7 linked regions of the Ovis aries genome follow. The protein of the gene in region 4 interacts with the protein of the main gene of each other region in a biochemical or structural test. Links are inferred from orthologs where the notes say so. Each region holds a gene or a part of one and is shown on either strand. Other genes may lie near its edges.

What was found.
Region 1: of the proteins of JUN (region 4) and MAPK10, one has a biochemical effect on the other in vitro, tested with the Homo sapiens proteins (7 studies listed by BioGRID and IntAct, with this or other methods). The link is inferred for Ovis aries from reciprocal best matches to the Homo sapiens genes JUN and MAPK10.
Region 2: of the proteins of JUN (region 4) and PRKD1, one has a biochemical effect on the other in vitro, tested with the Homo sapiens proteins (2 studies listed by BioGRID). The link is inferred for Ovis aries from reciprocal best matches to the Homo sapiens genes JUN and PRKD1.
Region 3: the proteins of JUN (region 4) and RUNX1 form a complex in vitro, tested with the Homo sapiens proteins (2 studies listed by BioGRID). The link is inferred for Ovis aries from reciprocal best matches to the Homo sapiens genes JUN and RUNX1.
Region 5: the proteins of JUN (region 4) and EP300 form a complex in vitro, tested with the Homo sapiens proteins (5 studies listed by BioGRID, with this or other methods). The link is inferred for Ovis aries from reciprocal best matches to the Homo sapiens genes JUN and EP300.
Region 6: of the proteins of JUN (region 4) and MAPK8, one has a biochemical effect on the other in vitro, tested with the Homo sapiens proteins (76 studies listed by BioGRID and IntAct, with this or other methods). The link is inferred for Ovis aries from reciprocal best matches to the Homo sapiens genes JUN and MAPK8.
Region 7: the proteins of JUN (region 4) and RUNX2 form a complex in vitro, tested with the Homo sapiens proteins (2 studies listed by BioGRID). The link is inferred for Ovis aries from reciprocal best matches to the Homo sapiens genes JUN and RUNX2.

What each region holds. Positions count from the first base shown.
Region 1 is NC_056059.1:101,973,964-101,977,949, forward strand, and holds the start of MAPK10 (mitogen-activated protein kinase 10), read right to left. Parts: upstream 2,801-3,986; 5' UTR 2,670-2,800; intron 1-2,669. UniProt on the Homo sapiens protein: Serine/threonine-protein kinase involved in various processes such as neuronal proliferation, differentiation, migration and programmed cell death.
Region 2 is NC_056071.1:38,245,489-38,249,506, forward strand, and holds the start of PRKD1 (serine/threonine-protein kinase D1), read right to left. Parts: upstream 2,801-4,018; 5' UTR 2,507-2,800; coding exon 2,243-2,506; intron 1-2,242.
Region 3 is NC_056054.1:267,608,461-267,611,960, forward strand, and holds part of RUNX1 (runt-related transcription factor 1), read right to left. Parts: intron 2,355-3,500; coding exon 1,879-2,354; 3' UTR 1-1,878.
Region 4 is NC_056054.1:33,493,864-33,497,845, forward strand, and holds JUN (transcription factor Jun), read right to left. Parts: upstream 2,801-3,982; 5' UTR 1,881-2,800; coding exon 873-1,880; 3' UTR 107-872; downstream 1-106. UniProt on the Homo sapiens protein: Transcription factor that recognizes and binds to the AP-1 consensus motif 5'-TGA[GC]TCA-3'.
Region 5 is NC_056056.1:218,148,369-218,151,868, forward strand, and holds part of EP300 (histone acetyltransferase p300), read left to right. Parts: intron 1-341; coding exon 342-782; intron 783-2,367; coding exon 2,368-2,547; intron 2,548-2,749; coding exon 2,750-2,894; intron 2,895-3,500. UniProt on the Homo sapiens protein: Functions as a histone acetyltransferase and regulates transcription via chromatin remodeling. Acetylates all four core histones in nucleosomes. Histone acetylation gives an epigenetic tag for transcriptional activation.
Region 6 is NC_056078.1:41,775,433-41,778,932, reverse strand, and holds part of MAPK8 (mitogen-activated protein kinase 8), read right to left. Parts: intron 1,832-3,500; coding exon 1,666-1,831; intron 1-1,665. UniProt on the Homo sapiens protein: Serine/threonine-protein kinase involved in various processes such as cell proliferation, differentiation, migration, transformation and programmed cell death.
Region 7 is NC_056073.1:18,667,638-18,671,137, reverse strand, and holds part of RUNX2 (runt-related transcription factor 2), read right to left. Parts: intron 3,406-3,500; coding exon 3,249-3,405; intron 1-3,248. UniProt on the Homo sapiens protein: Transcription factor involved in osteoblastic differentiation and skeletal morphogenesis. Essential for the maturation of osteoblasts and both intramembranous and endochondral ossification.

The sequences.
Region 1 (3,986 bases), on a different chromosome or scaffold from region 4:
GGGAGTAGGTTAAGTTGGACTTGTTTGGCTGGCTTTGAGGGGACAGCAGTCGACAGGGAAGATATCCCTCAAGCTCAAACGGACTAAATTGCATTTTACTTGAACAAGAAAAAAGATCATATCTGGCCTGTTTCAACTTAATTTTGCCAATGATTTTCTGCTCCTGGGTATTATTACCAAAATGTACTGATTAAAACGCCTTGTATTAAACATTAAACAATAAATTAGGGTTTCCTTTCACAATGAACGACTACGTAGGTGCAAGCCTTTACCATATCACGCAATACTTACTCTTATCCATACAACCAGAATCTTGACATTAAAAAAAGCATTTCCTGACATTTGTTCTCAAGGTTCAGGGCCAGAATGAGTCCCTGAGCACCTGTCTCCAGGCAGCTGGCAGTCACTGTGGTTCCATTCAATCTCTTCCACAGAGGAAAGGAAGGGAAGGGAAAACCTTGGTCACCTTGTTTGGAAGCTATTATTTTTACTATCCTCATATGGTAGAAGAAAAGTAAAAGGAAAAAACAGCCACAGAGTTCATGTGGACATGAAAAGGGTAAACTGAACCTTCTTCTCCAATTAGTGTTTTCTGAGTTATTTTTTAGGGCTCTCATAATATCAGACTCCACCAGCGGCACAGGTGGTAAAGAATCTGTCTGCATGCAAGAGATGCAAGAGATGTGGGTTTGATTCCTGGGTTGGGATGATCCCCTGGAGAAGGAAATGGCAACCCACTCCAGTATTTCTCATCTGGAAAATTCCACAGACAGAAGAACCTGGTGGGCTGCAGTCCACAGGGTCACAAAGAGCTGACACGACTGAGCACATAGCCAAATGCCTCCTAAAACCAGTTGTTTTTTTAAACTGAATCTAGTTGGTTCTTATTTACACAAAATACAGTATACTACTTGAACATAACTAATGTTTAAGGCAGTTACTTAACATAATGAGAAAGTTCTTTTATTTAAAGATTATTTAAAGTATATACACATAAATATGCGAGAAAAGTTTAAGATCAAACACTAATGAAATTACTAAACAAATGGTAGATTATCAATGTAAATTTGTGAACTGTATAACTTCTGTAATCATGTCAGAAAATTCACAATATTAAAAGAGCCATAGTGTATAATATAACTTGTAGTTTACCTCATACAGTTCAGAAAAAAAAAAGTGTGTTTGCAGAATATACACACAATTCCTATAAAACATGCCACCACTCCCACAGGGCATTGTAGAGTACTTACTTTTGTCAGTTAATGTGTATACACATTATAGCTATGACCAAGATATAAAAATATATATGAGTATTTATACCTGACTCTTTGCGACCCCATGGACTGTAGCCTGCCAAGTTCCTCTGTATATGGAATTCTCTAGGCAAGAACACTGGAGTCGGTTGCTGTGCCCTCCTCCAGAGGATCTTCCTGACCCAGGGATTGAGCCCGCATCTGTTGCGTCTCCTGCATTGGCAGGTGGCTTCTTTTCCACTAGCACCACCTGGGAAGCCCTCATATAGTATTAACTTTTCCATACAACCCTAAAATTAATAACTAACAAATATTAACACTAAACACTACAGATTAAAACATAGACACAAGAAGAATCAAGCAGATTATCACAGAGCCAATTCAGTTATTTGCCAAATGATATACGAGGTGAACTTTATTCATTGGTCTTTATGGGAAATTGGATTAAAAGAGCAGGAAACATGGTGTCTGTGACTTGCTCCCCCTGGAAATCCTGACCACCAACTTAATCTCACAAACATTTGCCAGGCTTTCTCTGTGCTTCCGGTGTCACTGTATAACAAGTCATTCCAACAACGGCAACAGAATTCATGTAACAAAACAACACTCCTACTGGTTTTAGTTTTGTAATGGCTCTGTGGGTAAAGAATCTGCCTGCGGGAGACATAGGAGATGTAGGCTCGCTCCCTGGATGGGGAAGATCCCCGGGAGAAGAAAATGGCAAACTCCAATATTCTATATTCTCCAATATTCTTGCCTGGGAAATCCCATGGACAGAGGAGTCTGGCAGGCTACAGTCCATGGGGTTGCAAAGAGCTGGACACGACTTAGCAAATAAACAACAACTTTAATATAAGCATAAATATAAACACATATCAAGATAAGTAATAATAAATCATTTAATTATACCCATGACATTTCTGTTTTCAAAAGGAAACCTAGATGAGTGGAATTTATTCAGTACCACAGTTCATCATTTTATTTCTAGTCTCAAGAACACTGCCTGGCACAAAACAGACACATAATAAAATTTTGTTAAATGATTTAATAAATGTATAAAATAATACAATGTATGTAATATTCTTGGTAAAATAATTAAAATATAGAACTCAATATGCTAGTCCTTAACAAGAAACATCTACATGTTTATTAACAATACTACTGTGGCTGTATGCCCTATATTAAACAGATGTTTGTTCCCTTATGAATGAAGTCTGAATATGAGCTCTTCTTCAAACAATGAGAATAGTTTCAAAATTGACAGAGGCATATGTATGTCTGTATCACATATATCACATGCACAAACACATAAACACAAGCACAACTCCTCCAAGCTTTAAAAGTATTAAGCTTATACTTTAAAAATATTGATGTTGGAAAGTACAAGCAAAGCCTTGAATTGTAAGGGAGTGATACCTTTCAGAGAAGGTGACGGCACCCCACACCAGTACTCTTGCCTGGAAAATGCATGGACGGAGGAGCCTGGTGGGCTGCAGTCCATGGGGTCGAGAAGAGTTGGACACGGCTGAGCGACTTCACTTTCACTTTTCACTTTCATGCATTGGAGAAGGAAATGGCAACCCACTCCAGTGTTCTTTTTTTTTTTTTTTTTTTTTCACTCCAGTGTTCTTGCCTGGAGAATCCCAGGCACGGGGGAGCCTGGTGGGCTGCTGTCCCTGGGGTTGCACAGAGTCGGACACAACTGAAGCAACTTAGTAGCAGCAGCAGCAGTGATACCCTTCACTTCCTTTTAACTTTTACTTTACGCTTGGTATTTATAAGAGCAAGAAATAGTAATACTAACTAATATTTATAAAGCACTTAAAGTGATTCATATATTTAATGCAATCCTGTAAAGTAGATGCTATAAGTCTCCTGATTTTACAAATGAAAAAATCAGGGCAAATTACTCAGGATCACACAGCCAGAATGCAGCAGAATCAGCCTAGAGCCCAAGTTCATAACTGCTAGGCTATCTGCGTTTAAGCGGCAAATGAGATTCAGGAGATACGATGGTAATAGACAAAGGATGATAGCTCTATGCAAAATCTGCAACGAAACCTCAAAGCTAAATGTATTGCTTACAGAGCGCTATTCTGCCTATGCACAGAAGAGACCACTGACATTGCGGACTTTCAGGAAGCACAGTTTAGAGATGGGCAGATTTCCAGAAGCAGAAGTGAGTTGACATTAAGTGCGGAAGCAAGACTACTTGAGTCACACTGTTGCTCAGTTTGATTGTCCAAGCAAATTCATTGTAGTGAGTCTGGCTGACTTTCAGAAGTTAGACGCTCTTACTCTGCTTGGTTGGCCCACAGAAGTATGTTCACTCAGGTCAATTGTTGTTGATTCTGTCACCAGCTCCAACGGTTACTTGTTACTATGGCTAAAAAATAACTAGTCTTTTACTAGTAGTGTGGAAACTATCATTCTTAAACCTCCCTTTCAGTCCTCCCTGAGCCAAAGTTGCACAAGAAACCAACAAGAATTGTCCAGATCTTCGTCACAGTTTTGATGCATCTTTAAAGACAACTTCCCTTGGTAGAGATGTGGTGTCAGTTTGAGAGGAAATCAGCATGATTTCTTTTCGTTTTTTCTTGGAATTATCTAAGAAGACAGTGGCTGCATAGAAAGCATTTAAGGCACTAAAAGATATGGAATAAAAGTAAAACAAACAAAAATTGAAAGTACAATATTATAAGAAGAAACTAGAAGGCATTCTGAAAATATAAG
Region 2 (4,018 bases), on a different chromosome or scaffold from region 4:
TCATGAGCTTCAGTTTTCCTTCTGCCATAACATTTTTGGCCTTCTAAAACATATTCCACAAAGCAAATCCATCTTTCAGCTGTCCTTGATTTCTCTATGTAGAAGATACAGAGATTCCTAGTAATTTGAGTTCATCTTAATTGACAAGCCTTTTCATAATTTTACTTTCTCTAAATATTCTAGTCACTATCCTCAGGTCCTCTGTATTCCACAGGTGCTTTCTGCTGCTCTCCTGAACACATATCATCCCCTCCACAAGGCATTCCTCTTGGTAGTTACAGAGATAAGAATTCACTCTTCATTCAATTTCTAGTCTCAAACCTCTTGAAACATGCATATTTCTCCTCATTCTAAATTCCATCAAGGTGTGGCTATATGTGTGTGTGTGTGTGCGTGCGTGTGTGCACAGGCACGCCCTTTAAAACTGTTCAAAGATAGTCTGTCCATATTAATTTGACCCAATGAATATTATCTGTAACTCACTTACTTTCAGCTAAAATTCTATACAATCACATTAGCTCTTTAAGAAACTTTATCTTAGGTTCTTTATGTGCTTATTCAGTATTGTCCTTTAATTAACTGGCTTGCACTCCAATGGAAATTGTTGTAGACTGCAACTTCCATTAAGGGAAGGCTTTCAGTGCCCAGGAGAACGCTCCTGTTAACCTGCAACAGACACTTCACAGTATTGATGCTGCTGCTGCCAAGTTGCTTCAGTCGTGTCCGACTCTGTACGACCCCACAGAGGGCAGCCCACCAGGCTCCGCAGTCCCTGGGATTCTCCAGGCAAGAGTACTGGAAGGGCTGCCATTGCCTTCTCCAACAGTATTGATGAGGAGAGGGCATATGATATGACTTAAAACAGAATTAGACAGTATCTGCCATTTACGTGGAAGATGCAAAAAACTAAGAGTCACACGTATTATAAAATGTCACTCCGTTCAATAAACAAAAATCCTGACACTCACTGTTAACTTAGTCTGGCCTCCAGAACTTTTACAACTTTTAGACTAGTGATTTCTCCCTAGGGATTTTTCCTAATATTTCTGTGCTCAGTGCTACAATTCACCACACAGGTTTAGCAAATTCTGTTCCAAACAGTTTAAAGAAAGCTTTCATGATTAGTCAAGGGATCTTTATAGAGCAAGTACCAGTCAGTCCTTCAGGGTTGAAATTCAGCACCTTTAGAGACCTCTGTCTCCACCCAGAAATCCTTGCTGTTTACACTAAGAAGACTGGCGCCACGGCCCCCTTTCCTTTACACTCTTATCACCCCCTTCCATGCAACTCCCCTCTGGACCGCCACAGAAACAACCTGAAATTCAAAATCGCACTATAAACAGCGACAGGCGGGCCACGTCTCCTCCCTGGGCGGCATGGTCCAGGATAATGGCCCCTTTTCCACCCTGCCTTTGGTGGCCGCTGTCCAAAGTCCCACAGCCTCAAACTTAGGGGCACAGCCAGCCTGGGGTGCTCCTGGACAGGACCCCTCCCATTCACATGCCTGTGTCCTGGCTTCAAAGCTCCACTATCAGTGCCCTGGAAATCAAAATCCAGAAGGCTGCAACTTTCAGATTTATCATTGAAAAAATTGCGCCCATGTTCACAGAGTTGGGAATAGAACACAAGAGGTGGGGAGCTGTGGTCTGGTCATTTGTTTTCACAGCTGGCCGAGTCAATCATTCTCTCTTAAAAGCTTATTTGACAGGTGAGAAATTCCTCCTCTCTAGATCATTCCAGGAACTCCTCAGCATCAATCTGAGCTGGGAGAGGGGCCTGAAGGGGAAGGGAGTGGTGCTGAAATCGTGCTGAGCGTGTCCCCAGGGAAACTCTAGTGCAGGAAGGAGGATTTCGGCGCCAGGAATGTGCTGGTCCAGGGTCCAGAGCGAAGAGAGGGGAGAGCCGAGAAGTCTTTACTGAGAGGGAGAGAGGTGCGACCAGAAAATAGAAGATACCTGGAAATGTCCTGAAAGGGATGGAACTGGGGGAGAAGGATGCGGACTGGAGAGAAATCGGGAATAGGAAGAGGTTGGGGCAAGGGGGGAACAGAACAACACGAAGTGCAGAGCCTCGGATGCGGGCGTCCAACCTCGGCCGGTGTCGGACCCTTCCAGAGCGCCGGCTAGGCTGGCTGCCGGCCGAGCCCCCGGAGCCGGAAAGTTGGCGCAGCGAGGGGCGGCCGGAGGGCAGTGCCCCCAGCGCGGCCGGGAGGCGCCGGGCTCAGAGTCGCGCGGCGCCTTACCTTCTGGTCGACGATAGAGCAAGCCATCTCGCGGACGTGCGCCAGGCTGTAGTCCCCGGACGAGTCCTGCAGCAGCAGCACCGGCTCGCGGCTCAAGCCGATCTGCAGATGGAAGGAGATGCCCCCGGCCGGGGCCGCGACGGGATTCAGGAACGGCGCGGGCCCCGGCCCGGACCCCGGGACCAGCGCGGCCGCCGCCGCGGCTGCTGCCGCCGCCACGGGCAGCAGCGGGCTGGGCGGCCGCAGGACCGGAGGGGCGCTCATCGCTCGGCCGGGCGCACCGAGGGCCGCGGGGCCCGGCGGCTGAAAAGTTTTGCTGCCGCCGAGCCGGGAGCTTCTTTCTTCAAGAGTCGAAGCGGAAAATAAAAACTTTCCGGAAAAGTCCCCGCGCGGGGGGAAGGGCGAGGGGATGAGGATCGGGAGGGGAGGGGGTGGAGAGAAAATGGCCGAGGCGGGAGGGCTGCGCCGCCGGCAGCGCGGGCGGCGCGCGGGGGAGGCGCCGCCGCGCGGAGGAGCAGCAGCTGCGGCGCGCGCGGAGGGACGGGGCGGCGGGTCTGCGAGGCCGGGGCGCCGGGCGGGGGCGGGGAAGGGGGCGCGAGGGGCGGGGTAGGGGAGCGAGGGGCGGGCACTGCGGAGCCACCACCCGGCGGGCGCCGGAGCCGCAAGAGCCGCGGCCGCGCTGGCCGCAGTGTGCCCGGTGGCCGTCCCCTGCGCCCGAGGCTCCCTGGGCCTGAGCCTCCCCTGGCCCGGGCAGGATAAGCGGCAGGGCGTGGGGCCGCCTCCGCGAGCATGGTTCGACCCTTCCCTCCCTCCCTCCCGGACCCCGCTCTCTTCGCTGTCCCGGCTGCCCGACTGCGGACGGACGGGACTGGGCGCCCTTCCTACAACCCGCTGCCTGGGACCAGGAGCTTCACGGCCCCCACAGTCCTTGCCACATCATCCAAGTGTCCGAGGACGACGCACTTCTACCCGTGAGGTGGCCTGTGCTAAACTCAAGAATGCCAAGCCCTGCGTTTCTCCGTGGGTCTTACTTTCGGAGGAAAAATGAAAACAGAGGGTCCTTGGAAACCCACTTACATCCCAGGTCCTTCCAGGAACCCTTGGGTTCGTTGCCAAAGAGGGTGGGAACCCAATCCACGGAAATATATCTAACCTGTCTTTACTTCTTTTGACACTGACACACCCTGATACCAAAGCCCACGCATTTCACCGCAGCTCCCAAGGCACCAGACTAAGTTGCTAAACTCAGACTAAGTTCTCTTTTGAAAGAGAAGGCCTTCATTGTCTACATTTTTTAAAAAGAGGAAGGGCTGATGCAGTCTCTGTCCCTTACCCTTATTCTTGGTGTCTGAAGCTTCTACCCCCCAGTCCTCAGAATCCGTTCCTTCACTGTAAAATCAGCTTTATATAAAGCAGTGATGCTCCCAGCGCCGCTGCCATCTAGGTTGGGCACCATCGGCTTTAGTTTTGATAGTTGTTCCCTGTTGTTGCCTGTGTTGTAGTTTTGGCTGGGTGGGGAGGTGGGAAGGGTGCTTGGGGATGAATTCTGCTCTTCTCCCACCAGGGCATGCGTCGCACATTGCACAGGGTGGGTGACGGTGGGGCCTCGACCTTTGAAAGGCCCTGCCACAGTGATGTGCTGACTGTCACCATCTTGGATTACTTAATGGTTTTTTGTTTGTTTGTTTGTTTTTTCATTTTACAGTATGTTAGTTGCTCAATCGTGTCTGAATCTTTGCAACCCCATGGACTGTAGCCTGCCAGTCTCCTCTATCC
Region 3 (3,500 bases), about 230 Mb from region 4:
TGACCTGAAATCATTTCAACTAATTTAAGAGGTACATTAAATAACCACCAGATCATTTTGAGCACACATATGTTAAAATCAGCAGTTAGTATTTATGAGTTGTACAACAACTGCCTTGTGACCAAATCCTCCAATAAAAATAGTGCCATAAAATTTACAGTGACATTGGATATGTTTGAATTGTAGCCATGGGCAGTGACATGAATCTTTTCCTGTCACGCTGATGCACCAGCAAAAGTGCACACACCCTACAGGGTAGGGTCTCGGTTGGTGAGAGCAATACAAAGCTGGGTGGGGAAGGAGCAGCATGGGATGGGTCCTGCACGGGTGGGATGACACCCTCCCCACACGACTTCACTGAGGCAGGTGGAGGGAATTGGGCTTGTTCGGGCCTGCTTCTGGGCCCACCCTATGAAAACTGACCTGGACACCTCGGCTGTCAAAGGCATCCGGTCCCTTCCACTCCCAGCCTTGGGGGACAGCCACAAGCTTTCTTCTGCATCAACCAACAGGTATAGTATCAAGAGGAATATCTCCTTGGAGCTAAACAAACATCTGAACTCTGGGTTCAGATGATCTGCTTCCTACCCCAGAATGGAGCAATTAAGGAACCCCTAAATTCATTCATTCGGTGTCCATGTGGATACCATTCCTCCACACAGCTTACTTTGCAATCATTCTGTTACAAAGCATGTCTAACATTATTAAGAGGCCATGGAGTGAGCAAACCCCCTAGGCAGAAAATAAATCCTCTCCAGAGGTGCAATCATTGGCATCTACCCCAACCCTCTGGAACCAGATTTGAAGGGAGGGAGTCAGGTATGAGACCCTTTGTTGAGCTTAGCAGAAAATTCCATACTTCAGATCTTTGGAGTGACCCTCAGTATCTAAAAAGCCTAATAAAAACATGGCTGCATTAGCTACTGACTCGTTGAATTAACATTAAAGGGAGTTTAATGTAAACAATATTTAGATAACCAAGTGATCACATTACCCATCTTTTTTTTTTTTTCCAACCTTCTTCAATGTGATACAATTAACTCTGGCTACTATCAAAAACAAAAAATGTAGTACTTGATATTTTTCTTAATATAAGCACATTTAAATAATAAAAAAGTATCAACACATTAAGTAAGTGTCTAAACATCAAGATACATAAATATCTAGGGATTCCTTGTGGGAATACAGTAGTTGAAAATGACCCAAAGCTGCAGCTGTTTCTTAAAAAAACAACTACACCAAAAGTCCAAAAGAAAAGTTAAATAAAACTTACAGAAAAAGGAATCATATTTCTTTCGTCAAAGCAAGAAAGAAGCAAAGCTCAAATTTATATATATATAAAAATAAAAAAACCACCCCAAATGCAAATACACATTTTGCAATTTATAAGGTGCTGGAAAAGAAAATTAAAAATATGAATTAGATGCCAAACAGAATGAGTTGCATCTCTGCCCGCCCCGCCCTTCCCCCCCACTCCCCAAAAAAACCCCAAGTTCCATACTCTTTGGAATAAACGACTTGGTTAAAAAGTGAAGTCAAAGTTATAAAATCTTTCTTTTATTCACAGCATTGCTAAATCAGAAGCATTCACAGTTTCCCTCCGGGAATCTTCCTGTTTGCCTTAACGAAGTGCCCACAGGGCGGTGAACCGGACACCCTCAAGTTGCGTCAGGTTAGAAGAAAAAAATCTGAGACGGGCCCACAGCGGCGGCGAACTGCGCGGACTTCAGAAGCGAGAGATGGCGACCACAGGCAGTTGGCAGGTGGCGAGCATCCCCCGCGGGGCCGGCGCGGGCTTCTCCACCACGCGACGCTGGGCACCGACGGGCGCCTCCGGGACGACGTCCGGCCGCACGGAGCGCGCGTGCGCAGCCTCACTCAGTAGGGCCGCCACACGGCCTCCTCGAGGCGCGCGGCGGGCGCCATGTTGGTGGGGGAGTTGCTGTGGCTGCCCTCAGCCTCCACTACGTCGCTCTGGTTCGGGAGGCTGGGATTGAGCAGCGCCGAGCCGGTGGACGCGTTGGTGCAGGGCGGCAGGATGCGTGGTGGCGAGCGCTCGCCGCCCACCATGGAGAACTGGTAGGAGCCGGCCGACGCGCCGTAGTATAGGTGGTAGGATGGCGAGCTGGCCTGGAACGGGCCGCCCTGTGCCTGCGACGAGCCGGGGTAGGGCGGGGGCAGGTACGTGTGGTAGCGCGTGGCCGAGCTCATGGCCGACATGCCGATGCCGATGCCCGACGTGACGGGAGTTGGGGAGTAGGTGAAAGCTCCAGGGTAGTGCATGCGGGGGTCGGAGATGGAGGGCAGCGCAGGGAACTGGCGCGGGTCGCCGAAGGCCGTCAGGTCGGGCGCAGCTGTGTGGTGGGTGAGAAATATCGTGAGATTAGGGTTCAGGGAGGCCACGCCCTTTCCCTCTCCCAACCGGCGCCCAGGAGAATTTCCCACAAAGCTGCTGCCATCCAGGGAGCAGTGCCCAGGAGAATTTCCCACAAAGCTGCTGCCATCCAGGGAGCAGTGCCCAGGAGAATTTCCCACAAAGCTGCTGCCGTCCAGGGAGCAGGTATGATGAAGATGGCCATATATGAGTGAGTGAGTGAGTCGCTCAGTCGTGTCCGACTCTTTGCAACCCCATGGACTGCAGCCCTCCAGGCTCCTCTGACCATGGAATTCTTCAGGCAAGAACACCGGAGTGGGCTGCCGTTACCTTCTCCAAGGTAATATATGATCTCATGCAATGTAATAAGGTTGTAATATAATGTAATATGTAGTCATACTTGCTTAATATAAACATATCAGATATAACTGATTTCATATAAACAAATATTGCTGTAACTCTGAGGTTGCACACCCACCTGCCAGATTCACCTGCTACCAGTTTTTGTATGCCCACAGTCTTAAGGATGTGTTTTACTTTTCTAAATGGTTGGGGGTGGGGGGTGGAAATCAAAAGACTTTTTCCTGACTTGAAAATGATATGAAATTTAAATTTCAGTGTTCATAAATAAAGTTTTATTGAAAGGACTCTCGCTTGTTCTTTTAAGTATTAACTATGACTACTTTTTAAGTCACCACTTCAGAGTGGTCATGGCAGAGACTGGAGGGCCAGACTGTAGGACTCAGAAAGTCTGCAGTATTTAGTATCTGGCCCTTTGCAGAAAAAAGTTTGTCACCTCTCTATATAATCAACATATTAATATGTCAGTATTAATGTCTTATTATAACAATATATGACAAAACAGTGGCTTCCCTGGTGGCTCAGATCTGCCTGCAATGCCGGTGACCCGGGTTCGATCCCTGGGTTGGGAAGATCTCCTGGAGAAGGAAATGGCAACCCACTCCAGCACTCTTGCCTGGAGAATCCCATGGACGCAGGAGCCTGGTAGGCTACAGTCCATGGGGTCGCAAAGAGTCGGACACGACTGAGTGACTTCACTTCATTTCACTTCACTTCACTTCACTTCATGACAAAACAGTATAACACTAGAAGAACTATTAATATA
Region 4 (3,982 bases):
CTGCTAGTAAGAAGCACCCACAGTGATTTTAATTGACACTCAACTCTTTCAACTCCACCTAGACAAGTAATCTATAGATAATGCAGAAAAGAGGTTGGGGGAGGGGTAACTTTTTCAATATTTTATTGTATTTTCTTAAATATCCTTTCTGGAATTTTCAGAAACAAAACATAAAAAAAATTATATACTTTATTACAAATGGTAAACTCAGAGTGCTCCAAATCTCTTATTTACAAACAAGGCTGGGCAGGACACCCAAACAAACAAACATGAATAACTTACAAAGGCATGAAGCTGTTTATTGACAGTAATCAGCTTTCATCAAATTAAAAAATATATATATGTACATACACAGTTATGGAAGGCAGGCCAGAAAGAGCTCATCTGCAGGCTGGGCCTCGCTCTCACAAACCTCCCTCCCGCCTCCCCTCCCCCACCCCCTTTGTGTTCTTAAGGAGTACTACAGAAGCGATCTACAGTCTCTATTGCAGTTTGCAACCCCCTCCCCCACCCCACCCCTTTAATACTGAATGAGATCGAATGTTAGGTCCATGCAGTTCTTGGTCAACGTTAAAGAAAAGTCTAACGTTCTGTTTGCGCGGGGACAGCCCGTCCGCAAACCCGGGCAGCCCGCGAGCGGCCGTTCCCTGGCTCCTCGCCAAGGGAGGGCGCGCCAAGTCCTTCCCACTCGTGCACACTGGGGGCGCCGTCAGGACGCAACCCAGTCCAACTTGGATACCCTTGGCTTTAGTCCTCGGACACTTTTGTTTTTTTCTCTGTTTCTCTCTCGCAACTTGTCAAGTTCTCAAATCTGTCTCTCTGTGTTATTTATATTTTTTCTCCGTTGCCCCTCAGCCCCCGACAGTCTCGCCTCAAAACGTTTGCAACTGCTGCGTTAGCATGAGTTGGCACCCGCTGTTAACGTGGTTCATGACTTTTTGTTTAAGCTGGGCCACCTGTTCCCTGAGCATATTGGCGGTGGACGCCAGCTCCGAGTTCTGCGCTTTCAAGGTTTTCACTTTTTCCTCCAGCCGCGCGATCCTCTCCAGCTTCCTTTTCCGGCACTTGGAAGCAGCGATGCGGTTCCTCATGCGCTTCCTCTCCGCCTTGATCCGCTCCTGGGACTCCATGTCGATGGGGGACAGGGGCGGCGTTTCCCCGGGCATCTCGGGCACCGTCTGCGGCTCTTCCTTCAGGGCCTGCAGCCGCGGGTGCTGCACGGGTATCTGCTGGGGCAGGTGGTGCGGCGGCTGCGGTGGTTGCTGCTGCTGCTGCTGGGGCTGCGCGGGAAAGGCCAGGCCAGCCGCGCCGTAGGAGGGCGCCCCGCCGCCGCTGCTCAGCGCGCCGGGGTTGAAGTTGCTGAGGTTGGCGTAGACCGGCGGCTCGCTGTGCAGGCTGGCGCTGAAGCCGCCGCTGCCGCTGCCGCCCGCCACCGAGGCCACCGCCGGGGCCACCAGGCCCGCCCCGCTGACCGGCTGCGCCGCCGACGTGACGCTGGGCAGCGTGTTCTGGCTGTGCAGTTCGGCCAGGGCGCGCACGAAGCCCTCGGCGAATCCCTCCTGCTCGTCCGTCACGTTCTTGGGGCACAGGAACTGGGTGGGGGTCGGCGTGGTGGTGATATGCCCGTTGCTGGACTGTATGATCAGGCGCTCCAGCTCGGGCGACGCCAGCTTGAGCAGCCCAACGTCGGGCGAGGTGAGGAGGTCGGAGTTCTTGGCCCGGAGGTGCGGCTTCAGGCTGCCCACCGGGTCGGCCAGATTCAGGGTCATGCTCTGCTTCAGAATCTTGGGGTTACTGTAGCCGTAGGCGCCGCTCTCAGACTGGAGGAACGAGGCGTTGAGGGCATCGTCGTAGAAGGTCGTTTCCATCTTTGCAGTCATAGAACAGTCCGTCACTTCGCGTGGGCTTAGTTTAAGCTGCGCGCAGAAGTTTCGGGGCCGCAACAGCGCGCTGGCAAGCGGGGGACACCCGCGCCTCCCCGGGCAGTGAGCAAGGAAAGTTTCTGGAAGAGCGCGCGCCCCCGCCGGCTGGCAGCCCCCGCCCCCGGCGCCCTCCTCACCAGCTCGGTCCGGGGGATCGCAGGGTTAAGACGCCGCCCGCGCTCTTACTTGTCCGCTCGCGCGCGCCGCCCGGCTTTGAAAAGTCGCGGTCACTCACGGAGCTCTCTCGAGCGCAGCGGTTCCTCAGAGCCCGCGGACGAACTCGCTTCCCGGTGATAGCAGGGAGCGCGGACCCCGCGTTTGCCTGCCGGCGGCGGGTGTCCGCCGCCCCGACTCGGAAGACTGTCCCCTCCTCCGCTGAGAGGGGGAGGGGGCGCCCGGCAGCCGCGGCTCGCGCTCGCCCAAGTTCAGCAACCGGTGCGAGCGAAGCGGAGCGCACGTCCTCCTCTCTCCGCCGCCTCTTTTTCTTCACCGCCGCCGCGGCAGCTTCGGGCGGAGGCAAGATTTGCAAAAGTTCGTTCCGGGACCCGGCGGCCACTTGTCTCCTGTCTTCCTGGCCGGGAAAGTTCTTGCCGCTGCAGCCGCTCTCCGGACTTCCCCGGGCGGACAGTGGCCGCTCTCCGCGCTGTCAGCAGCGCCCGCGCAGCGGGGCTCTCCGCCTGGGGGCGGCTGGCGAAGGGGCTCTCCCGGCGCTCCCCAAAACACCAGGCCGGGAGCCACAAGCGCTAGCTCCGGGCAGTTGGAGAGAAATTGGAAAATAGGATTTGCTGTCCTTCTCGACTGACTGTGCCTGTCTGCCTGCCTGCGTCCGCGCACCTCCACTCCCGCCTCGCAGCTTCAGCCACACTCAGTGCAACTCTGAGCCCTTATCCAGCCGGAGCGCAACACTTATCTGCTACCAGTCAACCCCTAAAAATAGCCCATGATGTCACCCCAAGGCCTTCCCATTGGCTCGCGTCGCTCTCAGGGGGGCGGGCCCACCCGTCGCCATGGAGACCCCACCCTAGAAGATTCTTCTCTGGGCCCGCGGAGGCTCACGGGATGAGGTAATGCTCCGTTGCCCTCCTACAGTTGGGCCCTTCTTTCTCCTCCTCCCCCCAACCCGCTCCGCGCGACTCGCGCCCCTCTCTTCCCCCTCCCTCCCCGACGCGTCTTTCCCGGCCCGCCCGGTGCATTGTGGGCTGACGTCTTGGGGTTTGACTGTCTAGTGACGGTGGCTGCCGCGAGCCGGGCGGACTCCGGCGCTCCCAGCCTCTGAGGGAAGTGGGCTGAAGTTTAGGGCTCGGATGGGAATGCCAGGGATGCTAGGACCCAGGAGGCCAGGGGAACCGAGCCAGGTGTCTGGGGCCGAGGGCGCGGGGCGGGTGGTATTTCCCCACTTGGGGGTTCGATGTCACCCGCGGGCACTTCGCCGCCGCTCGGGGCGGGCCGGGCCCGTTGAGCGCCTGGGTTCCTGGCCCCCCCGCACTTCCGGGGGGCGGGAGCACCGCCCTTAAGGTGGCTCTGTTAAGTCCCCTGTGGGGGCGAGTGAAAGTGGCTTTTAAATTTGGGGGCAGTTCGTGAGAGTCGGCCCCCCACGTTGAGAATGCCCTGAAGTTTGTCTCCTGGTCAAGTTCAGTAGCGACTGTCTGGCTCTGTCTGGAAGTCCAGTGATTTGCATTGCTTGAAACTGGGTGTTCGGCTAAGTCCCCTCCGCACTCCCACCTCACCCTCCCGACCGTGGGAGAAAGGGTGCGGGGGTTCGCATCTTTGCCTCGGAAAGGTTTCTTACAGGAGGTGGATTTAAGGGGCAACTCGGCGTCTAGTTTGAACGAGCGTTTGGAGAATCCGAAACTCGGGGAACCCCGGTGATAGTCTACTCTCCGCCCCCGCACAACATGCATAGACACACCGCACATCACATGTACACACAAACACACACACACGCACACGCCACTCCTCCCGCCCCGATTTGCTTCCGGGAAAACAAGTCCGAGAGCAGCAGACACTTGCCAAAAGTCACGCAGCGAGTGAGTAGAATAAAGATTTAAAATTTCTCCGCT
Region 5 (3,500 bases), on a different chromosome or scaffold from region 4:
ACCATTTTAGCCAGTTTTTAAAACAGTGAAATCTTTAAAAATGGTATCTTACTGAGCGCTATGAAGCAGAAGAGAGAACTTTGGCTGAAGAGAGCATTGGACGGCTAGAAAACAAACAGGTTCACCTGTCCCGTGCCCCCACAGCCCCTGAGAGATCCACTTAACTGAGTACTGTACTGGTTGGATTTCCCAAAGACAGGCCCCCAGTAATAGGGTTTTTGACACATTTTGAAATGGAAGCATTCATTGTTGATTTCTGTTAAATGTATATAACCTGCCTATGTAAATACTTCTTTGATTCTGTTCTGAATTGCATCTTGTTATGTTTTTCCTTTTAACAGGCACAGATGTCCAGTTCTTCCTGTCCTGTGAACTCTCCTATAATGCCTCCCGGGTCTCAAGGGAGCCACATTCACTGTCCCCCTCTCCCTCAACCAGCTCTGCATCAGAACTCACCCTCCCCCGTACCTAGTCGCACCCCCACCCCTCACCACACTCCCCCTAGCATAGGGGCTCAGCAGCCACCAGCAACAGCAATCCCAGCCCCTGTTCCTACGCCTCCAGCCATGCCACCTGGCCCACAGTCCCAGGTTCTCCATCCGCCTCCAAGACAGACGCCTACGCCGCCGCCAACACAGCTTCCTCCCCAAGTGCAGCCTTCGCTTCCTGCTGCTCCCTCAGTCGACCAGGCGCAGCAGCAGCAGCCTCTGTCCCAGCAAAGCACAGCAGCCTCTGTGCCCACCCCGACCGCACCCCTGCTGCCTCCGCAGCCGGCAACTCCAGTAAGCAGAGTCTGGGCTTTCGGCAGAACCATGTCAGCCGTACTGTAGTTTTATACTACTTCAGTGCGGTTTCTTTTTTCCTTTCGTGGGAGGTGGCTGGGGGTGGTGAGCTTGCAGGACCTTAGTTCCCTGAGCAGGCGTCCACCCTGGCCCCATGGCAGTGAGAGCGCTGAGTCCCTATCACTGGACCTCGGGGGAACGTCCCTGTGCCATGCCTGTTCTCTGCCATTCTTCTCTCACTGTCGCCGCCTCAGACTGGAACCTCTTATGTTTACGGACTTTTGCTGTCACACCTCACATAGAAGGACCTCAAAGATTTTCTTTAGATCTTACGTTGACTGCGGTCACGTTGTATTCAGAGGCTTGAAAGCATGTAAGGGGAGAAGAGCGACCAGACGTTTAATACTACATGTGAATTTTACAGATACTTAAAGAATCTTTTCAAACAGCCTGAACTGCTGTTCTCGAGCAAATGAACAAAATCATTGATTTATGAATGTCTATGGTCCTAGCCAAAGTTAGAAAATTCATGAGAAGGTGTTTCATAAGGCCTGAAACACTCCTTGCAAAAGATTTGTTACCTGGGTAGCAGAGATCCAGATGTCCACCAGTTACATCCTTATTAACAGAACTCTGCGTGCCGCTGTTGAAACTTCCTGCATGATCACTGATAGTTCTCTGTCCTGTTGGCAAACTGAGAAGTGCTGGGAGTCATTGCTCCTTCTTAATACATTGTTCATGTGTGACTGGTTCATCTTAGCCTCTGATACGTAAGAAAAGGTAGGATGCAAAAAGGCATCTGTATCCTACATAGGATAGATTCTGAAAATACTGACTTCCCGTTAAGAAGTATGTTATTGGAAGACTTAGGAAGAATGGAGGTTGTTAGTTATCCATTAGAATGTGATGACTCAAAACAGCTGCTCATTGTGGGAATTTATTATATTCTCCCAACTTGTATATGTGAAACTTTTCCTAAGGAGAAGTTAAAACTAAAAGATTGTCCGTCAGTCCTTCTTATTTTCTTTCCATTTTTTTGTAAACATGAGCTCCTCTGAGGCAGCCCTTTCTGAAGCCTCCCTCCCAGGTGCTGTCCCAGAATGTTACTGGAGAAACAGTTGCTGGCTCTTGTGTCTACAACAAGCCGGCCAATATTTGTTAGTCCTCAGTCTCCTTGTCTTAAGCAAAATTTACTTCGGGGGGCCAACTAGGCAGAGTAAGTGAAAGCACCATGCGTGCACATGCGTGCTAGATCACTGCAGCCGTGTCTGACTCTTCTGCGACCCTATGGACAGTAGCCCACCAGGCCCCCCTGTCCACGGGGATTCTCCAGGCGAGAATACTGGAGTGGGTTGCTCTGCGCTCCTCCTCAAGGGCATCTTCCCGACCCAGGGATCGAATATGTTTCCTGCATCTCCTGCATTGCAGGCGAGTGTTTTACTAGCCCCAAAACACCATAAATGGGTGTAATGACACTAGCTTAGAAATAGGTGGTTATTCTGCCATCTTGTCATATAGCCTAAATTCTGGTTTTATAATAGACGGACTTTTTTTTTTCTTCTCTGCCCCGCCCTTTTCTACCCAGCTTTCCCAGCCAGCTGTCAGCATCGAAGGGCAGGTGTCAAACCCTCCATCCACTAGTAGCACAGAAGTGAGTTCTCAGGCCGCCCCTGAGAAGCATCCGTCACAGGAAGTAAGACCGGAGCCGAAAATGGAAGTGGAGGCGCCAGAACCAGCAGACACTCAGCCGGAGGGTATGCCAGAGGTGAGAGGAGGGCAGTCGCTGCCTTTTGGGGTTAGGAACATGTTACAGGAAAGGACTCTGATACTTAGGTCTCATTTTACTGATTTCCATATGAGAAAGGGTCTTGAGCTCCATCCACAGGGGAGAGTAAATAAGACATTGATGGTACTGCTACTCAGTTACATGTCTTTGGAATACCAAAAATTCCTACCATGCCTTCTAGCCTAAAGCAGAAGACTGTAAAGTAGAACCTACAGAAAGCGAAGAGCGAGGCACTGAATTAAAAACTGAGACGAAAGAGGAAGAAGACCAGCCAAGTACTTCAGCGACCCAGTCATCTCCAGCCCCGGGACAGTCGAAGAAGAAGAGTAAGTTTCTTAGGCTCTGGGTTCATGGAGGCAGAGGGAAAACTAAAGACTTCAGTAGAGTGAGATTGGGCTTCTTGGGCCTTGGAATTGAACTTTATGTGATTTCATTAAGCCTGGTGCCCTGGGCCTGGTCTTCATTACTACTAATGTTGGAGAAGGAGTTTTCTTTCCTTTAAGTGTATTTGTTTCCAGCAGTCACTGGGTGGCAAACAACTTCTCAGAATTCTTTCAGAGGACAAAAATTATTAAATAATACTCTGGATCAAAATGCAGGAAATAACAGCAGTAATAATATTCTTTGTTTTCTTTGTTAACTGCTGTGCACCAGGCACTGTACCACAAGCTGCCTTGTCTCATCTGAGAACCTCACAGCCCCTCTGTGAGGTCCCTGAGCCCTGTTTCACAGGCGGGAAAACTGAGGCTCAGCAAGGTCCAGTAACTTAACCCAGCTCACTTAGTCCAGGCAGGCTGAACCATGCTACTGAATGGTAATGAGGCAAGCAAGCAAGCATGCTTAAGCAGAGAGTGTTTAACAGGTCCCACGGAAGTTAATTTACTAGCTAGTTTAGGACTAGAACTTCTTATGGCTCTAGTGACCCCTTCAGT
Region 6 (3,500 bases), on a different chromosome or scaffold from region 4:
ACATTTCTAAAGCTACAAGCATGAGAGGCTATTGCAAGCACTGTCTGGGCAAATGAAGACTGTCCTCAGAATATGAAAAGCCTGATTCAAACATAAAAAGAGCTCTACAGGTCTAACTGCTCAGGCTATTTGGCAGTTTAAATATATCCCATTATCTCACTTTCCAAAAAGCTTTGAGGGTAGCTTGCAATAAAAGACATATATATAAAACAAGTCATTAAAACAGGTGTAGGATGGGTGAGAGGCGTCACTAAAAGGTGGAAGTTCTTATGCTTAACCTTGCTGGCCGATGTAGTTACCAACATTAAGCACTATATTTGACTCAGTTTCCTGGAGACTGAAGGAACACAATAAAGTGAGTCTATAGAATTCTTATCTAAGAAAGGAAAGTATGTCAACTCTTTGCATGATAGTTTTTCTTGGTGCTAATTTCTACTAGGGAGCGCCTAAGATCACAATTCCAAGACAAAGTGACACACTGCACATTATTTATGACAATCAGTGGTTTTACAGCAAATACTTTAAAAAACAATGATCATGCTGTCACTTAAAATAGCAATTCTCCAAAAAAAAAAAAAAGTATAATACTAAATCTAACTCACTGGATTTTACAGGGTATAAGACAATTTTAGGTCAAGAGTAAGACAACAGAACAGCGTGTTTATTTAAGAACAAAAGAATAATACTGATAATAAATGTTTAAAGTGTTTTTAACTGGCTCAGATAAGAATATTAAGCTAAAATCCTTACTTCAAAGTTATCTTTTTTAGAAAAAAAGAATCCTCAAAACTGATTTGATACAGTTTCCTGATTCAGAGTGAACTGCTGTTTCAGAGTCTTTTGCTAGGAAAAATGTCTAGGTCCTACTTTATGAAGTATTTTTAATTATCTCATTTTAAAAGTTAAAGTCAATAAAATCATGTGTAGACTTATCCATCTTCCAAATGACTGAGATTCAGCAAATTTATACCTTTCTTAGGTATAAATATGTGTATGTATAACATTTTTTTAAAATTCATGAACTACATGCCTGAGCATTTTCTTCAACCTAATTCTAGTGATAATTTATGTAACTGGCTATATTCGCACATAACGCCATTTCTTTAAGGCTGGACACAAGGGCTTTGATGAAACACCATTTCCTCTGAAAGGTCACCTTAAATTAATTATCCATCAGCTCTACAGAACAGCCTTATTGTAGCTCTTAAAGTCTGCACTAAGTGCTACTGCTACTAACTTTAATGTCACAGGACAGGAAACGTGTGCAAATACCACTAATGTGAACCAAGATCACCACTAGAGACATGGCGGGTGCTGAGACGGGTCCACTGTATACTCCCTGTGCCCATGTTAGAGTGCTCATTTTCACATTACAGGCAAGAAAATGCTATGTATTCTAGACATGTATTCTTACAGGGGCCATGGTAACAAATTCTTTATCCAACGGTTGTACTGATGGTTATGTATTTGTATTTAAATAAACAGGGGCCCCACGTTTTTCCAAACATTTATGACAAAATTTGTAGTTACTTCCAAACTCTTGATAAACACTTCAAACAGCGATAATTTTCTTTATGCATTTCAATTTAAGTATTTACATAAGAAATCTGATAAACAAAAGCAAATAAATCTGAACAGAATTTCAAGTAAATAGTGTTTGCTGACCGTTTTCTTTGTAGCCCATGCCTAGGATGACCTCAGGTGCTCTGTAGTAGCGAGTCACTACGTAAGGTGTCATCATAAAACTAGTTCCTGCAGTCCTGGCCAGTCCAAAGTCAAGAATCTTCAAAGTGCAGTCTGATTTTACTACTATATTACTGGGCTTTAAGTCCTTCAAAAATAAAAATACAAAAAATGACTGCTATGATATAAACAAATACTTTGCAGTCCACACGTTATGAATGAGATCTCTCATAAAACAGTTCATGCTAATTGTTCATTTTCCTCAAACTGTAACTGTTACCACTGCACAGATTCATCATAAACAGACAGATTTGAGAAACTAGCTTGAGGGCATTTTTAATTTACAAATACATACAGTAGTTATTAGAAGTTAGTAATGTTTTATTTGCTAGAAAATATGATTAGCTAGATACTTTCAATCAAGGGGTGTAAAAGCGATTTGGAATGGCATCTCAAAGCTCATGTAAGAACTTTTATGGTTAAATAAAGAGAGAATCATAAGTTAGCATTTATATTCACTTGTATACTAAATTACTAGCTTTTAAAATTCTCATTTTAAAATCACAGTAAGCTTTATATAGATATTCTGTATCAGCAATAGGCCATTCTATGTCAACCCAATCACATGTCATTTGACTTTTCAAATAGGCAAATGTTCAACTCTGAAGGACCAAAGTAATCATTACCAGTTTTCCCATCACTGATTTCTCACCCAAAATCATACAGATTTGTTCATACAATTTTTGACTGCCCACAGAGGTAGGACAGCCTTGTCCTGGTGCCACTAATCCATAAAATCACCTGCTGCTGATGCTACTAAGTAACGTCTGTGAAGAGCTACCCATGTGAACCCAACCTCAAGGAATTCTATGTTACAATCATAAAAAGGCAGCGGCATAAATACTCAAGGCTTCCCGTTCAACCCATCTGGCCTTTTAGCTACCACGAATCCTATCATGAACGGAGAGACCGAAAAGAGCAGGCCTATAATTCACACATACTGAATATCAGTGATTAACAATACACAACACTGGCCTGAAAAACGATGGTTAACCACTCCTGCATGCCTACATCCAGCGCAGCATGTAACTGTCTTTAGCCTGTGCTGACAAGCAGTCACAGATGGCGTCAGAAGAGGTGCCACCTGTTTGTTGCTGCTGGTCAGCTGCTAAGTTGCGTCCGACTCTTGGCAACCCCATGGACTACGGCACGCCAGGCTCCTCTGTCCTCCACTATCTCCCAGAGTTGGCTCAAACTGATGTCCATTGAGTTGCTGATGCTGTCTATCTCATCCTCTGCCGCTCCCATCTCCTCTGCCTTCAATCTTCCCCAGCACCAGGTCTTTTCCAATGAGCTGGCTCTTCGCATCAGGTGGCCAAAGTATTGGAGTTACAGCTTCAGCAACAGTCCTTTCAATAAATATTCAGGGCTGATCTCCGTTATGACTGACTGGTCTAATCTCCCTGCAGTCCAAGGCTCAGCCTTCTTTATGGACCAACTGTCCCATCTGTACATGACTACAGGAAAAACCACAGCTTTGACTAGATGGACCTTTGTCACGAAAGCAGTGTCTCTGCTTTTTTAATATGCTGTCTAGGTTTGTCATGTCATCGACTGGTTTTATCAAATTAAAAATAAATATCAGCAGGCTTACTGGAACAGAGGATAAACATTTTTATCATTGCTATCCTATAAATATGTGGTCCTGATTTCCAAAATGCAATACCTCAGCAAAGAAACACTGCATGTTCAAAAATAAATATTATGAGCTTTGATGCTATTTCAATGTCTATCATGTTGGTTAATGATTTAATGGC
Region 7 (3,500 bases), on a different chromosome or scaffold from region 4:
ATCAAATCCTAAGAATCAAGATGTACTTTAACAACTAAAACAAAAGACAAGGCGGTTCCTCCCACTTCTTATTGCCCCTTCAGAAGGAACGTGAACCTAATGGTTCCAGAAACTATCACCCAACTGGGTCATTTGCTCTCGTCCCTATAAACAGTGATACATTTCTGAAGTCAAATGTTTACATGAGTATTCATGATTTCCTCCTTTAAATTAAAAAAAAAATCCAAATCCCATTGTTTACTACTCTCCATAAGTGATAAAAAATGCAGCTCTTACTTAGGGAGCTAGCAATCGTTAGACAACTCATTGTAGCATCCTTAGCTTCATCTAGGGACTAGTTTTGCATTATGTCCTCAAGTCATATATTTTCTGAGATACACATAGGACCTGTCATTGAAAGACAATTCTAACCTAGCCCGAGGGGCTGTCAGAAATAGTGGGGAAAGTTAAGACTATAAGCACAGATTGTATCCAGAATTGACAAAGTACCATGCTCTGCACACTACCGGTGTTTAGAAGTGCTTGTAAATTAAAAGCAACTCGCTTGACATCAAAAGTGAGGAAGCACACCAAGAAAACTTAAAGACCGAAGTCACTTTCCATACTTGGCTTAAAATATAACAGAGAAAAAGTGAAAAGACAATTTAAAAACGTAAGCCACTCTGCACTGAATGCAAGTTTCACGGATGCTCTACTCGTATTCCAAAGCACTTCGAAAAGCTGTGGTCCTCGGATAACCCATGATGCCAGAGTAAGTAGCCATGTTACTGCTTTATAAATCGAAAACAGTTTTTCTAATTCCTGAGAGTGTATCTTTCTACCCATGAAAAAATGTAGCATTTGAGGAACTTGCTGGTTTTTCATTTTTTAATGCTACCGAAAATAGAAAATGTAAATAGCTGGGCAGCGAATACAATGGCAGCATCTTGTTGACCCAGACTTTAAAACTTGAGAGAAATAAAGAAGTGTGAAAATCAAAGAGGAAGCTGGAAAGGGACTGTTAGAAGCAGGTCAGGTACACAGGCAGGTTAAAGGATTTCCTGCCACTGAAGAACTGACCCATTTTTTCTTTTCAAAGGGTAGTATCTCATCAATATTCTCTGTCCTTTTTCCCCTCTTCATTTCAGCTTGATATTACTGTGTCCTTTCATATAATATTAATGTCCTGATTTAAAAATCTATTATTAGTGATACATCAATTTTTCTTTCTCTCTCCACTCGCTCCCCCCACCCCCAATCTAAGTCTCGAAGACAAGTCTGGACCAATTTCTCCATCCTGCCTCTGGCAGCAGACTGTGGCATTTCAGATCCTCCACCAAGTCCCGGCTGCTTCAAAGGAAAAATCCTACTTTCTTCAGTTAAGATCATAAGAAATATAGGGGGAGGGGGTCAGCTCTGTTTGGACATAATTACACTTCATCAAAAGAAGCTTTCTTCATCTTCCATGCGTGAAAAGTCTGCAAGCAGTTAAGTCTGTCTTTTTTTTTTTTTTTAATATAAAAATTGCTATTTGGGAAACCAGCCAAAACTCAGAAAGCCAATATAGTAAAACAGTGCACACCCTTTGTTTCCCTTTGAAGTTTCTTAAATAAATATGTTGAGGGTTTACAAAGTACACTATCACTTTGCCATAGTTTCTACTCAAACTGATCAGAGAAAAGTTATGCAGCATCTATATCATACAAAAGCAAGATAAATGAAAACTCTAGTTTGTATCTGTAAAATGATGTATAGCGCCTGGTCTTTTAAACACTAAAATTCAACAAAGTAATGTTACATTAGAAGAAAGATGCCTTCAGAAGATAGATATAGGTTCAGAAGATACATCATGTTCAAATTTCTCTTCTTACAAGAAAAAAAGAAATTTGAATTGTACAGTAGGCCTGCACAGTAACCGAGGGGAAAAATGAATAAACACACATACATACTTTACACCTAATCAGTCAAGAGTGAGACTAAGATGTATCTTTTTTTTCCTTTTAATGAAAGTGAACTAAACCTGATGCAAAGATAACCCCTTGAGTTTTGATTCTACCAGAGGCTCTCATTTTATTTCAAATCTTCAGTGACAGTATCTCATTAGCATGCATCATTTTTTTTTTTTAAGTTAAAAAGTACAACTTCTTGGCACTGTTCCTAGAAAGTAAACTAAAACTACTCACCGGAAACAGTCTTGCATGAATTTCCCTTATCAAGTTTTTACAATGGTAATAATTTGACATCTGATCCAAACTAAAGGGCAATTATTGGACATGGTTTAAAAATTGATGCTTCTCATTTCCTAACACAAACCTGGGTTAAAGTCATTCCACAGGTCTTTATAATTTATTTATAATTCATTTCACTCCAGTCCTAAAGTGGTCTATTTTCCCTCTTCTCATCAAAATACTTAAAATGGAAATGTCAGATTCAATCAATCAGTAAATGAACATAAAACTTCCAATGAATGATGATTAAAAGTCTTGCCATAGAATAAGTAAATAAAAGCCAAAATACTGGTTTTCTTTGAGACTTTTAAAAAAATATATTAACTGCATTTATGAAACAGCTACAAAAACCCTAAAAGGGATTATTTTCTCTTTTATGATCTTTTTAAAGATTCCTAATATCTGAATGGGGGGTATGGATGGTGGAAACTCTTAAATAATGTGGAAATATTTAGAGTCCCAATCATTCATCTGTCTAGGCAATTCCACATAGTCATTCTAACATAAGTAATACATTATTCACTTATTCAAATGAAAAGCCTTCTATAAAAGCCTATGATTTTTAAATAAGTTCCTATAGGAGTAAATTAAATCCTACAGAGGTAACATATGTGACAAGTGAAGAGCATTATGCTAGCTGTCCTTGCTACAACTTAGAGCAAAATTGATATTACCAGGAAATTGATCCAATGCACTCCCTTTTCTTTGCCCTTTGCCACTGAATGTACTCAGTTATTTGGCTCCTCATAACTCAGAACTTGAACCTCCAACTGTTCTTCCTTCCACCTCATATGCTCACACCCAGTGAAATTAGGAACTGGTCCTTCTGAAAACATTGTTTGAATTTTCAATATCATAAAACAAATGAAAAAGGCCTGAGTACTCACTAAAACACTCAACCTCATCTGGACGTATTTAAAGAAAACTTTCAGTAATTCTATTCAGTAGAAGGTGCTGATTTGTATACAGACTTAGCCTACATTTCATCAGAGGATCCTAAAGTGTTTATTCCATTATCCATATGAAAAATCAGAGACCTACCTCTTCCACTCCGGCCGACAAATCTCAGATCGTTGAACCTTGCTACTTGGTTTTTCATAACAGCAGAGGCATTTCGGAGCTCAGCAGAATAATTTTCATCGTTACCCGCCATGACAGTAACCACAGTCCCATCTGGTACCTCTCCGAGGGCTACCACCTACATAAAACAGGAAAGATAGCAGCAATAATGGCATCTCAGAAAAGCTGAAGGACTGAGAATATAGTCTCATCGTAAAGGATGCATTGTATCAG